Linked DNA regions of Coturnix japonica. The protein of the gene in region 2 interacts with the protein of the main gene of each other region in a pairwise test. Links are inferred from orthologs where the notes say so. Each region holds a gene or a part of one and is shown on either strand. Other genes may lie near its edges. The genes, in order: YWHAQ, TRIM42 and KLHL38.

Evidence for each region.
Region 1: the proteins of TRIM42 (region 2) and YWHAQ interact in binary tests that used the Homo sapiens proteins (3 or more experiments, as listed by UniProt). The two-hybrid records come from large-scale screens. The link is inferred for Coturnix japonica from reciprocal best matches to the Homo sapiens genes TRIM42 and YWHAQ.
Region 3: the proteins of TRIM42 (region 2) and KLHL38 interact in binary tests that used the Homo sapiens proteins (3 or more experiments, as listed by UniProt). The two-hybrid records come from large-scale screens. The link is inferred for Coturnix japonica from reciprocal best matches to the Homo sapiens genes TRIM42 and KLHL38.

The regions. Positions count from the first base shown.
Region 1 is NC_029518.1:87,879,033-87,882,632, reverse strand, and holds the start of YWHAQ (14-3-3 protein theta), read left to right. Parts: upstream 1-921; 5' UTR 922-1,073; intron 1,074-1,951; 5' UTR 1,952-2,042; coding exon 2,043-2,336; intron 2,337-3,600. UniProt on the Homo sapiens protein: Adapter protein implicated in the regulation of a large spectrum of both general and specialized signaling pathways. Binds to a large number of partners, usually by recognition of a phosphoserine or phosphothreonine motif.
Region 2 is NC_029524.1:5,104,713-5,107,636, reverse strand, and holds part of TRIM42 (tripartite motif-containing protein 42), read right to left. Parts: intron 2,169-2,924; coding exon 1,354-2,168; intron 687-1,353; coding exon 459-686; intron 1-458.
Region 3 is NC_029517.1:124,496,483-124,500,313, forward strand, and holds the start of KLHL38 (kelch-like protein 38), read right to left. Parts: upstream 2,794-3,831; 5' UTR 2,567-2,793; coding exon 2,545-2,566; intron 1,997-2,544; exon of another isoform or gene 1,895-1,996; coding exon 525-1,894; intron 1-524.

The DNA.
Region 1 (3,600 bases), on a different chromosome or scaffold from region 2:
GATGTCAGCGCGGGTCGCTCCCCGCTCAGGGCCCCACGGCACAGCGCCATTAACTCTTCACGAGCAATTTCCTGTCACCGGGCTCCTGGGGCACAGCTCACAGAATGACCCGGGTTGGAAGGGACCTCAAGGATCATGTAGTTCCAACCCCCCTGCCTGGCAGGGCCACCAAACATACACCTTTACTAGATCAGGTTGCCCAGGGCCCCGTCCAACCTGGTCTTGAACACCTCCAAGGACGGGGCATCCACAACCTCCCTGGGCAGCCTGTTCCAGGACCTAACCACTCTCCTAGTGAAGAACTTCCCCCTAACATCCAACCTAAATCTTCCCTCTCTCTGAAATCTCTCGCCCGACCGAGCGGCGGCACAAAGGCAGCATTCCTGACAGGAGACAACGCGCCGGGAGGGCGCCGGGCAGCCCAGCCCGCAGCCCAGCCTCGGCACCACGCACTGTGTCCTCCCACAGCCGCCCTACGGAGGGGGCACCGAGCCCGCCCCGCACGGCCCCATGGCGACACAGCCAGGGAGCTAAAGCACGGGCAGCCCCCACAGCACGGGCAGCCCCCACAGCACGGGCAGCCCCCACAGCACGGGCAGCCCCCACAGCACGGGCAGCCCCCGCCGGCCGCCCCCGCCCGTTCCCGCGCCGTGTCGGTGCCGACCCACCGTGGTGGAGCGGGGGTTGGGCGGGGGGGGGGTTGTAGCAGTATCGCCATGGCGACAGTGACGTCATCTCACCCTGGATCTAATTGGAGGAAACCCCGTGGCCCCAGCCGCAGCCCACGGGCCAACCGAGCTCGCGCCCTGCCCGCGCTCGCCCCCGCGGCGGCGCGCTGCCCTCGGATTGGCCGGCGGGGAGCGGAGGGGCGGGGCCTGGCTCGCAGGAGAGGCCGCGATTGGCCGCGTGGGCGCGGGCCGAGCGGCGGGTAGGCTCGGCCGTGCCAACGCCCTTTAGCGCTGGCTCTCGCCCGCTTCGGGAGCGGCTCTTTCTCTCCGCCACATCCCGAGCGAGGCGCAGCCGATCGGGTGCGGCCCGGCCCGGCCTAGCGCAGCGCAGCGCAGCGGACTCAGGTGAGCGCGGCGTGGGCCGCTTCCCGCCGGCCGTGCCGCCGTGCCCCGCCTCGGCGCCGCGTCCTCCATTTTGTGAGCGCGGCGTGGAGCGCTCGGCGGTGCCGGGTTGCGGAACGAGCCGCCGGGCGGCGCCGCCATTTCGTACCCGCCGGGGCTTCGTCCTCCGCGCCCGGCCACGCTCGTCCCGCTCCGCCGCCCCCCGCTTCGCGGTCCCCGGGGACGAGGCCAACGCGGAGCCGCCGGGCCCCGACCCCACCCAGCGGCCGGGAATGGAGGGGCTCCGTGCCGGGGCCGGGGCCGCTCCCGCCGGGGGGATGGTCCCGCCTCGCCCCGCCGCCAGGAGGCGAAGCGGCCCGAGCTGCCCGCCCGGCCCCGCCCGGCCCCGGCGTTGTCTCCAGCCCCGCTGAGCTGCGGCCTCAGCTCCGAGCGCGCTGTTCTCCTTTCTTTCTTTTTAAATAGCTTTTTTTTCTGTTTCCTCCTTTTTCTTTGCCCTCCCCTGCGGGGTGAAGGCACGTGGGGAAGGCCCTCGGGCTGCCTGGGAGCTGGGTGTCCTGCTGTGCGGCTCCATTGAGCAGCTCTTAAGTGTGTTGGCACAGTAAGGACAAAAGCCGCTGTGGTACGTTGGTACGACTGCCCGGTGCTCGGTCCTCTGGCCGAGGGACTGTGACCCATCCCCGGCTGGGTTTCTGGGCTGTTGCTTCCCCAGGGTGGGCCCGGTACCAGTGCCTGCTTCTGCCCAAGGGAGGGACGGTGCCAGTGCTGCGCCATGGGATGTACTTGGGAATGGGGAGCTCCCTACAGTCCCAGTAAGGGGGCTGCAAGGACACCATCCACAGCGTTGGCTCCTGGAGTCACGGTTGCTGTCCTTCTCCTGGCAGGCTCTGAGGCTCGTTCTCTTGCTGGCAGAGTGACGTCCTCAGCTTCTCCTGCCTTTGCTACAACACTGCCCTCGTCCTGCCGCCGGCCACCATGGATAAGACCGAGTTGATCCAGAAAGCCAAGCTGGCGGAGCAGGCTGAGCGCTATGACGACATGGCCACCTGCATGAAGGCGGTGACGGAACAGGGGGCTGAGCTGTCCAACGAGGAGCGCAACCTGCTCTCGGTGGCCTACAAGAATGTGGTGGGGGGGCGACGCTCTGCCTGGAGGGTTATCTCCAGCATCGAGCAAAAGACAGACACCAGCGACAAGAAGATGCAGCTTATCAAGGACTATAGGGAGAAGGTGGAGTCTGAGCTCAGGTCCATCTGCACCACGGTGCTGGTGAGTGGGGCCTTTCCTTTTTCCGTGTTTTATCAAAAGAGAGAAGCGGGATGCTGCTGTTTTGAGGAGGGTGGGAAATGGGCTGGGCACTATGTGAGCTATTATGCTGGAGTGGGTAGTTCAGTAACTTTTGCAGCTGCCATATTGGTTACTTTGAGACAGAAAATCATCTGCACTTTGCTGCGGGTGCTGTATATGCAGAAGTAATCGAGGTGTGCTAAGCTGTGTTTGAGATGCACATCTGATGGAGTTACCTGTGTGCAGTACTACGCTAGCTGAGCACAGAGATGCAGGGAATTTAGGCTTGTGCTTTGGTTTGTAAGCTAATCTTCACAAGGTAAGCTGAAAAGAAAATGAAAGCCCTTTATTTCTGAAGGTTGGTGCTAGTAACCTGTTAAATGCATTTAAATTAATGGCGTTCATTTAATGTGCTGCTTCATGTGAGGAAAAACACTCTTTAAAGGCCTTAAAGAGGCATTTTTTAGATTTTCTTTCCTAGGTAATAAGGTATGATTTCATAAAGGAAGACATCTTCCTTGAAAGTAGGAAAGAAAAAGGTAGAAATCTGCTTTGTCACACTCAAGTTGATTTAGTGGGGGCTGTTAAAAGTGAATTTGCAGTTATTTTGGACTAATGCACAACTGTGGCTTGGAAACAGGATATTCCATGACAGGTATTGTGCACCTGGGCATGTTTCAAAGCCCAGCAATATATTTCCATGTGAGGAGCAGAATTCCAGATGCTGTTGATGGTGAAGCAGCATTGCAGTGCAGCAGGAGCTCCACAGACCTGTGTCAGCAACATGGGAAGTGTGCAAGCCTGTTGTGTGTGATCAGGGTCTACTGACTGCAGGAAGCTGTGTGTGTGTAGTGCAGTGCTGATGGTGTGGCATGTCATCTTCAGTGGTTAAGCTGTGTATTTTTGATGTCTAGTATTGCAAGCATGAGAAAGGAAGTGAGTAAGGAAATAAACAGTTTTTGATTTAACCCTGAATCGGGTTAGGAGACCTGAGGTTAAAGATGGCTGGTTTGGAAGTAATGGATTTTGCATCTTGAGAAGTGTTTTGGCTCATGTACAAGGGTGCTTTGGATTGTATTGAAAATACTGTGTGCTTCCTCACATGCTGCCTCCTGGATTCGTTTCTAACTGTGAGTCAGAGGCCTTCTATAAAATCACAGAATCACAGAATGACCCGGGTTGGAAGGGACCTCAAGAAACAAGCAAGTCCAACCCCCCTGCCTGGCAGGGCCACCAAACATACACC
Region 2 (2,924 bases):
GGTAAAGGAGCAATGTGGCCAAAGGTGTCAAGGAATATTCTTAATTTCTGTTTGGTTCCTCTTTCCCTTAATTATTGCCTTCTCTTTCTAGAATGAAATTTTTTTGAATCCGATTCTTCATACTTTTGTTCTATGTGTTCAGAGAGATTAGCATAAAGGCTGTTTCAGACATGAAATAATATTATTTATGACTATGTGTCTGATGTAATCATAACACAGAATCTCTGCTAGAAAACAACAAGAAGCATTCTTCTTCATAGGACAAACAATTACAGATAGGATGAACAACATATGGAAATATCTAGTGTAATATCAGCATCACTTACCTAGGTAAGTGTATTGTAATCTTCTATTCAAGCAGTATTCTTTGTAAATATATGAAAAAAAAAAACTCCAACCAAGTCTACGGGCAAGAACGTTAACATAACTCTATAAAATATTGGAAGAATATGTAATACCTTACAGTTCTCACTCCATTCTCCTTGACCATTTTTATTGACAGCACGTACTTTGAAAAGATATTCTGTATTTGAATCCAAATTATATATCTCAAGGTTCTGCTGCTGTATTTTGCTTAGCTTGCCATCCAGTTGTGTCTGGACAGTGTAATCAGGATTGATACCAAGAACTTCATAAAATTCTACCTCAAAGAAATCCACATCTTCTGCAGGACAAGTCCAGTAGATCTGTGAAGAGAAAAAAAAAACCTGTAGTGCACCATTATGTACTCTTTGATTTTGTTAGTTTTCATTTATGCCTTTTTTGAAAGGCTCCCGATTAGCAGGTGTTAATTTTCAGATGCCGAAGTAGCTGAAATTCCAACCTAATTGTAAAATACATGTTGAGACATAAACACCCTCCTGTGAATTTCATCGTACTGTCTTCTGACACACTGGAAGTACTGAGGGCTGGTAGCAGTTGGTTCTTTGCAACATGTTCTTTTGATCTTATGCATCCATCCTGTTCTCGTTAGTATCTCTGATATATCAGGAGGAAAATTACATAGACATACGAAATCGCATTTGAAGGCCAAGAACAGGGATTAAATGATTTAGTCTGATACACAGATATTTAGATACAAACAATACATCTGTTTCTTTTTGCAATGGACCGTTTTATGTAAGATATTTATGACATATAAAATACTATAACAGCTGTACTTAATATGGTAGGAAAGTGATGCAACTCAGTTTATACTTCATTTTATCTTTAAGGACAAGTCTGAAATGCACTCTCTCCTATGCAAATTAATTATTTGGTATTGTAGTCTTATTTTTTCAAAATTGAACCTTAGAGCCTGAAAATATAATGATAATAGTATTTGCATAGATTTAGAATTCATTAATGTCTTACTTTGGCAGACCTTGGGTAAACAACAGTTTGATATATAGTAACAGGTCCTGGCACTGCAGATGATTCTTTTTCCATAGGTGCTGATCTTGAAAAGTAAACTTGATGTTTCCTTTCTTTTCTTGAAGTTTCACAAGCTGCATTCCAAGATTCACAGAATTTATTACTCTGTGTAGAATGATGGGGAGGGGTGGAGTTTTGTCTCCCAAGAGTGCTTTCAATTGCCATGTCCAATTCAAACAAGGAATTTAAGGATGATCTTTGAAGCGTTGATTGCTTGGCCTCACGTGTGCTTGAAACATGCCTTGGAACCATTATTTCTGGGTTAAAATAACAGGGATACTTTTCTGCTTTGCTTTCAAACTGTTTTGTTTCACTAAGGGATGGTGAAAATCCTTGTAAAATGGCAAACACTTCATCAAATTTGAATTGCAGTTTCTTTAGGGGGTCTTCTCGGATAAGTGGACTAGGCTGGAAAATGGAAGGAATTGCATCTTCTATTTCTTTCACCAAACAGTGTGCAGATTGCAGAAATACAACTTGACTTTCCTCCTTAAGAGCCTCTTCAGCATATTGGATAAGGCCATCCATATATGAGAGCTGGCTGAATGTATAGTTTACATATTCTGAAATGTCTTTCTGCTTTTTAAGTTCAATGTTTTCAAGCAATTCCATCATCTCTTTTTCTTGTTCGTGTAGCACTGTATGTAGTTTTAAGAATCCATTTCTGATCTCCTTCCTTTGGAGATCCTTGGATGTTTGGAAATTATTTTTTAACAGGATAATTTCCATTAGATCATTGTCAACTCCTTGGCGTGCTGAAAAACAAAACAAAATAAACAACAAACCTGTGGTCAGTAGTTTCAACTTCATATTAAAATATAGTGGTTAGAAGAGACAGAATGATAGGTTGTAGTTTAAAGAAATTTCAGGGTTGATGGAACGTGGAACAAGTGAGAATTTACTACTTTTTGCTCATCTCTACTGCTAGGGAGCTCCAAGGGAAGTTGACTGGGATAAAATTTTCATATTCCGATGTATGAAAGTCAGGTAGCTAATTGCTCCTTGATTATTGTTCTTTCACTTACTTATTTTTCGTCCCCCATAATGGGCTTGATGATTTTTAATTAATTACATGGGAAATCCTGAAATCTGATTTATAGTAGTTCTGTATTATTTTTTGAATTTTATCACGTCAGTAGCAAGCTAAAACAATTGTAACCAATGTGACTGCATAGATCTCATTATGACTGTATCTGACAGTACATTCCTCTGATAGCCATTATGTGAAGATATGATTTATTCTTCTGACACTAAAAATTGAGAACTGTGAGAGAACAGAATCAAAAACACCAGAGGCTGACAGTAAATTTTGCTGAAGTGCAGCTAACATTTTGGAACAATATCACATTACCATTACAGAACCTTACACAAATATTTTGCATTTTACTTTTTGAGCTTCAAGACTGTTATGAAAATGCAAATTGAATGCTTCCAGTTATTTCTCACTGCATGTGGTTCACTATCACCTTTCCAAATTCTGTTTTCTGTGCAACTTTGTCTGTCCCCAGCAT
Region 3 (3,831 bases), on a different chromosome or scaffold from region 2:
TTTAACACAACTGTTTATGTGAAATAACTGTCAGTTTAAGCTTTGGCCTTTTGATGAGTGAGAGTCTAATTGCTCTAATGATCTCAAACTGACATCTTTGCTATCACTGCAAGGGAACAGATGCACAGCTGAGACCCCAGCTTAGCTGCAGGCTGGCCAAACAGCAAGCACTGATTTGGGTGAGCGGTTGCAGATGTGGAGGTGGCCATGGGGTCAGTTACTGCCTGCCATTGCAGCATCCATGGGAGCTCCCAAGACCTCTATATGAAATTCTCATGTGACAGAGCCAGCGCCAGAGGAAGGGCCTCAGGCCTTATGTCTGAAAAATATTTAGTGGAGAAAATGAAAGAACTACAATGCTCCTTGGAGACAAGACTTATTTGAAGCAATGTGTCAACTCATCCTGCCTGTTGCTGCAACTCATAATGAAGTTTAGTTTTGGAACTGACTTCTTCATCAAGGTGATGATGAACCACTGACTTGTTTAAGTAAAGCTGCCTATGTCAAGGAGGACTGACTGTTACCTGGATAAGCCGGACGGGGTTTTGCATAATGTCTTCTCCCCCAAAGAGGTACACCCTCTGGTCTTTGGCAGCAACAGCAGGGTGAAGGACAGCAACAGGCATGTTTGCCATGCTCTCGCAGGTGTTGTAGATGCTGTCATATCTTTCCACAGAATTCAGGATTTCTTGGTTTTCACCAATACCACCAAATGATAAAATATAATTTTTATATGCCAAGCTTCTGTGGGAATAACGTGGAACTAGCATAGGTTCAACCAACCTCCACTGATTGAGTTTGAGGGAGTAAATGTAAATATTATCGCTGACTGGACTTTTCTTATTGCTAACAGGCATCCCTCCAAGCACATAAATATTACTGTGTAAGCTGACTGCAGATGCTTTGTACAGGCGTACAGGAAGTTTGGCCAGGCTTAGCCATTGGTTGGTCTTGTCATCATACAGCAGGACATCCCTTGTGGTCTGCTGGTTGTCCTTCCTGCCACCAATGATGATGAGGAACTCTTGGTTGGAGTATCTGCGAGGAACGTGTACCATTGGCTTGATGTCAGGTGCATTGGTGCTGTACAAGGAAAACATCTGTCTCCGAGCTGACTCGAGAATGCTCCTGCAAGTGGGTGAAGACTGAACAAGAGAGTCATTGGCAATGAAATGGAAAAGGAAAGTTGGATGGACGTACTGAAGCCGGACCATCTTGAACAAGTCTTGGATGTAGCGCTGTCTTGCCTGGAGGTCATGCCGGATCCAGACCATCAGTGTCTCAAAGACCTGCTCCTCCTCCCCACAGAGCTCATCATCCCCCAGGTAATCGAGGAGCTCCAAAGGACAGAGATCCTTGAGGTCCTCAGAAGAGGCCACTTCAGGAAAGCATTTCAAAGCCATAGCCTTGGCTTTCTTATTCAGGCTTTGGCAGTTCAAGATTTTTGCCAGTCTGATCATGCTTAGACAGTTGTCAGGAGTCATCTTATCTTGGAGGTAGGCAGAGCAGGCCTCAAACAGCTTAGCGTACTGCAGCATGGATGCTGTCTCCAATAGGTACAAGACATTCTCAGCAGATATGAGAATCTCCCCTGTGTAAATGTAAAGGATAATCTGGTCCAAAATTTCAGCATCAATGCCCTTCAGGGTGACTTTAGCTTGGCGACTCTCTTTGAAGTTATTACAGAACATCGCCTTGAAGTACGGGCTGCTGGCAGCCAGCACGTTTCTGTGGCAGGGAACTTCAGAGCCCCCAGAGCAGAGGGTAACATCAGTCAGCATCCCGCTCTGCCGCAGCACATTCAGCTGCCTCAGCAGTTCAGAGGAGAAGTCCTGGTCTTTGAAGAGAAACTCCTCAGCAGATTGCTCCTCCATAGCAAAGAGAGAGATGAAGTCTGGACTTGGCAGAAAAAAACAATTTCTTAGCAGCTTTTAAAGAAGTATCCAGCTCCAAGGGAACAAATCAGGACTTTGATGTTGCTCTAAATATTCATTCGCTGTTATGCATAAAAATGGAACATGGGTTAAGCGCAGTGGGAAAGTAATAAAGAAGCTAAAAGGTCACAAAGACCCTTTAAAATTTTTATAAATTTATCAGATAGATTGCAGCTCTAGGGTCAGCATTGCCTGTGACTCTGGCAAGAAGCAAAAGCACTGAAGTTATCTCACTGATTTGGGATGAAAGCTGAACGGCCAAAGCAATGGGGAGGTTCATTTTAATCATGTCGAATAAATGCGCTTGGACATTTATTCACTATTTTAAAGTATTAGCCGTTTAGTAACTTGCATCTCTTTCCCCTAGAGTTAGTCATTCCCAAAGAATGTAAATCTGGCAGAGCTGAACTCTTCAGCAGGACTAACTAAACCCTAGAGACTGGGAATCTGCATTAAAACAGTTATTTATTAACTCTGCTTAGCTGTGGTTTTTTTATGTTAATCAGACACACAATGACTAAATTAAGTGCCAGGCAGAACAATCTGATGAGTATTTATTTCATGCCTAACCGCTTAATCTGCAGTGAAATCGTACGGTAGAAATGTTTACCTTCCGATGTCCTTCCCTGCATGCACTTACTCTCTGTCGCTTATTCTCTGCTGAGATTTTCCATAGCTAGAGCCTGGATAAAAACTATAAACCCACAGGACGTTTCTTTCAGTAGGTGAGTGATTCATAGAAGGTGATTTCTGGACGTGTTTATTCTGAAGTCACTTTTGCCGCTCTCAGGAGCTCTGTGCAGGAGCCGCGAGGCGGTGGGGCATTGTATACATTCCAGCGCTAAGAATAGGCACATATGGACTTCTCACAGTTATCACATGTGACACCGCCGTTGCCTTTTGCAATGACCTGGCTGGTACTGAGCATGCCCGGCTGGTGTTTTTCTGGCAAATGTTTACATATAATAAATAGACACGGAGAGGAAAGTTCACTTATAAAAGTCCTGGCTGTCCGTTTGGAAACAGCAACAGGACCCTGTCCTAAATTGCCTGGGAACTTGAGAAGCCTGTAAACAGTCTGCAGCGCCTCGCGCTAGGTGATGCACTGTCACGTATTTTTGTGGAGAAAGCAGAGCCTGCAGGGATCCCAGAGGGATGGACCATGTCTCCACCTGATGGAGAGGTTTTGGGTGCACCTGCCTTTGTGGTCTGCAGTGGTGGGTGTGTAGGTGATCCTGATGCACTGGAACTCTCATGACTATGGCACCTAGAGTGGATAGGCAAGTGCTTTGAGGGAGGTGAGTGGAAACTGGAGCAGTTTGCTGAAGTGAGGGTAGCAGGCTGGAAAAATCACTGCACCGAGAGCCCTAGGCTTCTCATTGCAGACCCCTCTAACTGCAGATGTCTGAACAGGGTGTCTGAGCTTCCCTAGCAGCTGGTGAACTCTGGTCATTACAACCATGGAGTTATCCTGGTCACCAGCAAGCATCACCTATTTTGGGGCAGATGGATGGTCCTCCAGGCAGCTCTGACTCAATCTTCCTGGGCTGTAGGTGTTCATTTGTCTTGGTCATGTGTAGGTGTCTTGTACACTCTTGTTAGGTATCTGAGATGCTGAGCCTAAATCCATCCCATGGGCTTGGATCAGTTGAGCACCATGTGTCCCAGGGGATCCTCTACAACCCCAGATGCCCACACAGAAGGGCTGGGGCTCTAAAAACAGCAGCTTTCATCACAGGCTGTGCCATACGTGTCCTTTCCCAGAGGGTTCATTAAGGAGCCTGCTGATGGCCCAGTGAGGCCAAAAGCCTGTTGAGCCCCAAAGGCTGTTGAGCCCAGAAGGCCCAGTGTCAGCATCAGGCTGGTGTAGGCCTTCCTGGAAGCTGCAGCATCTCTC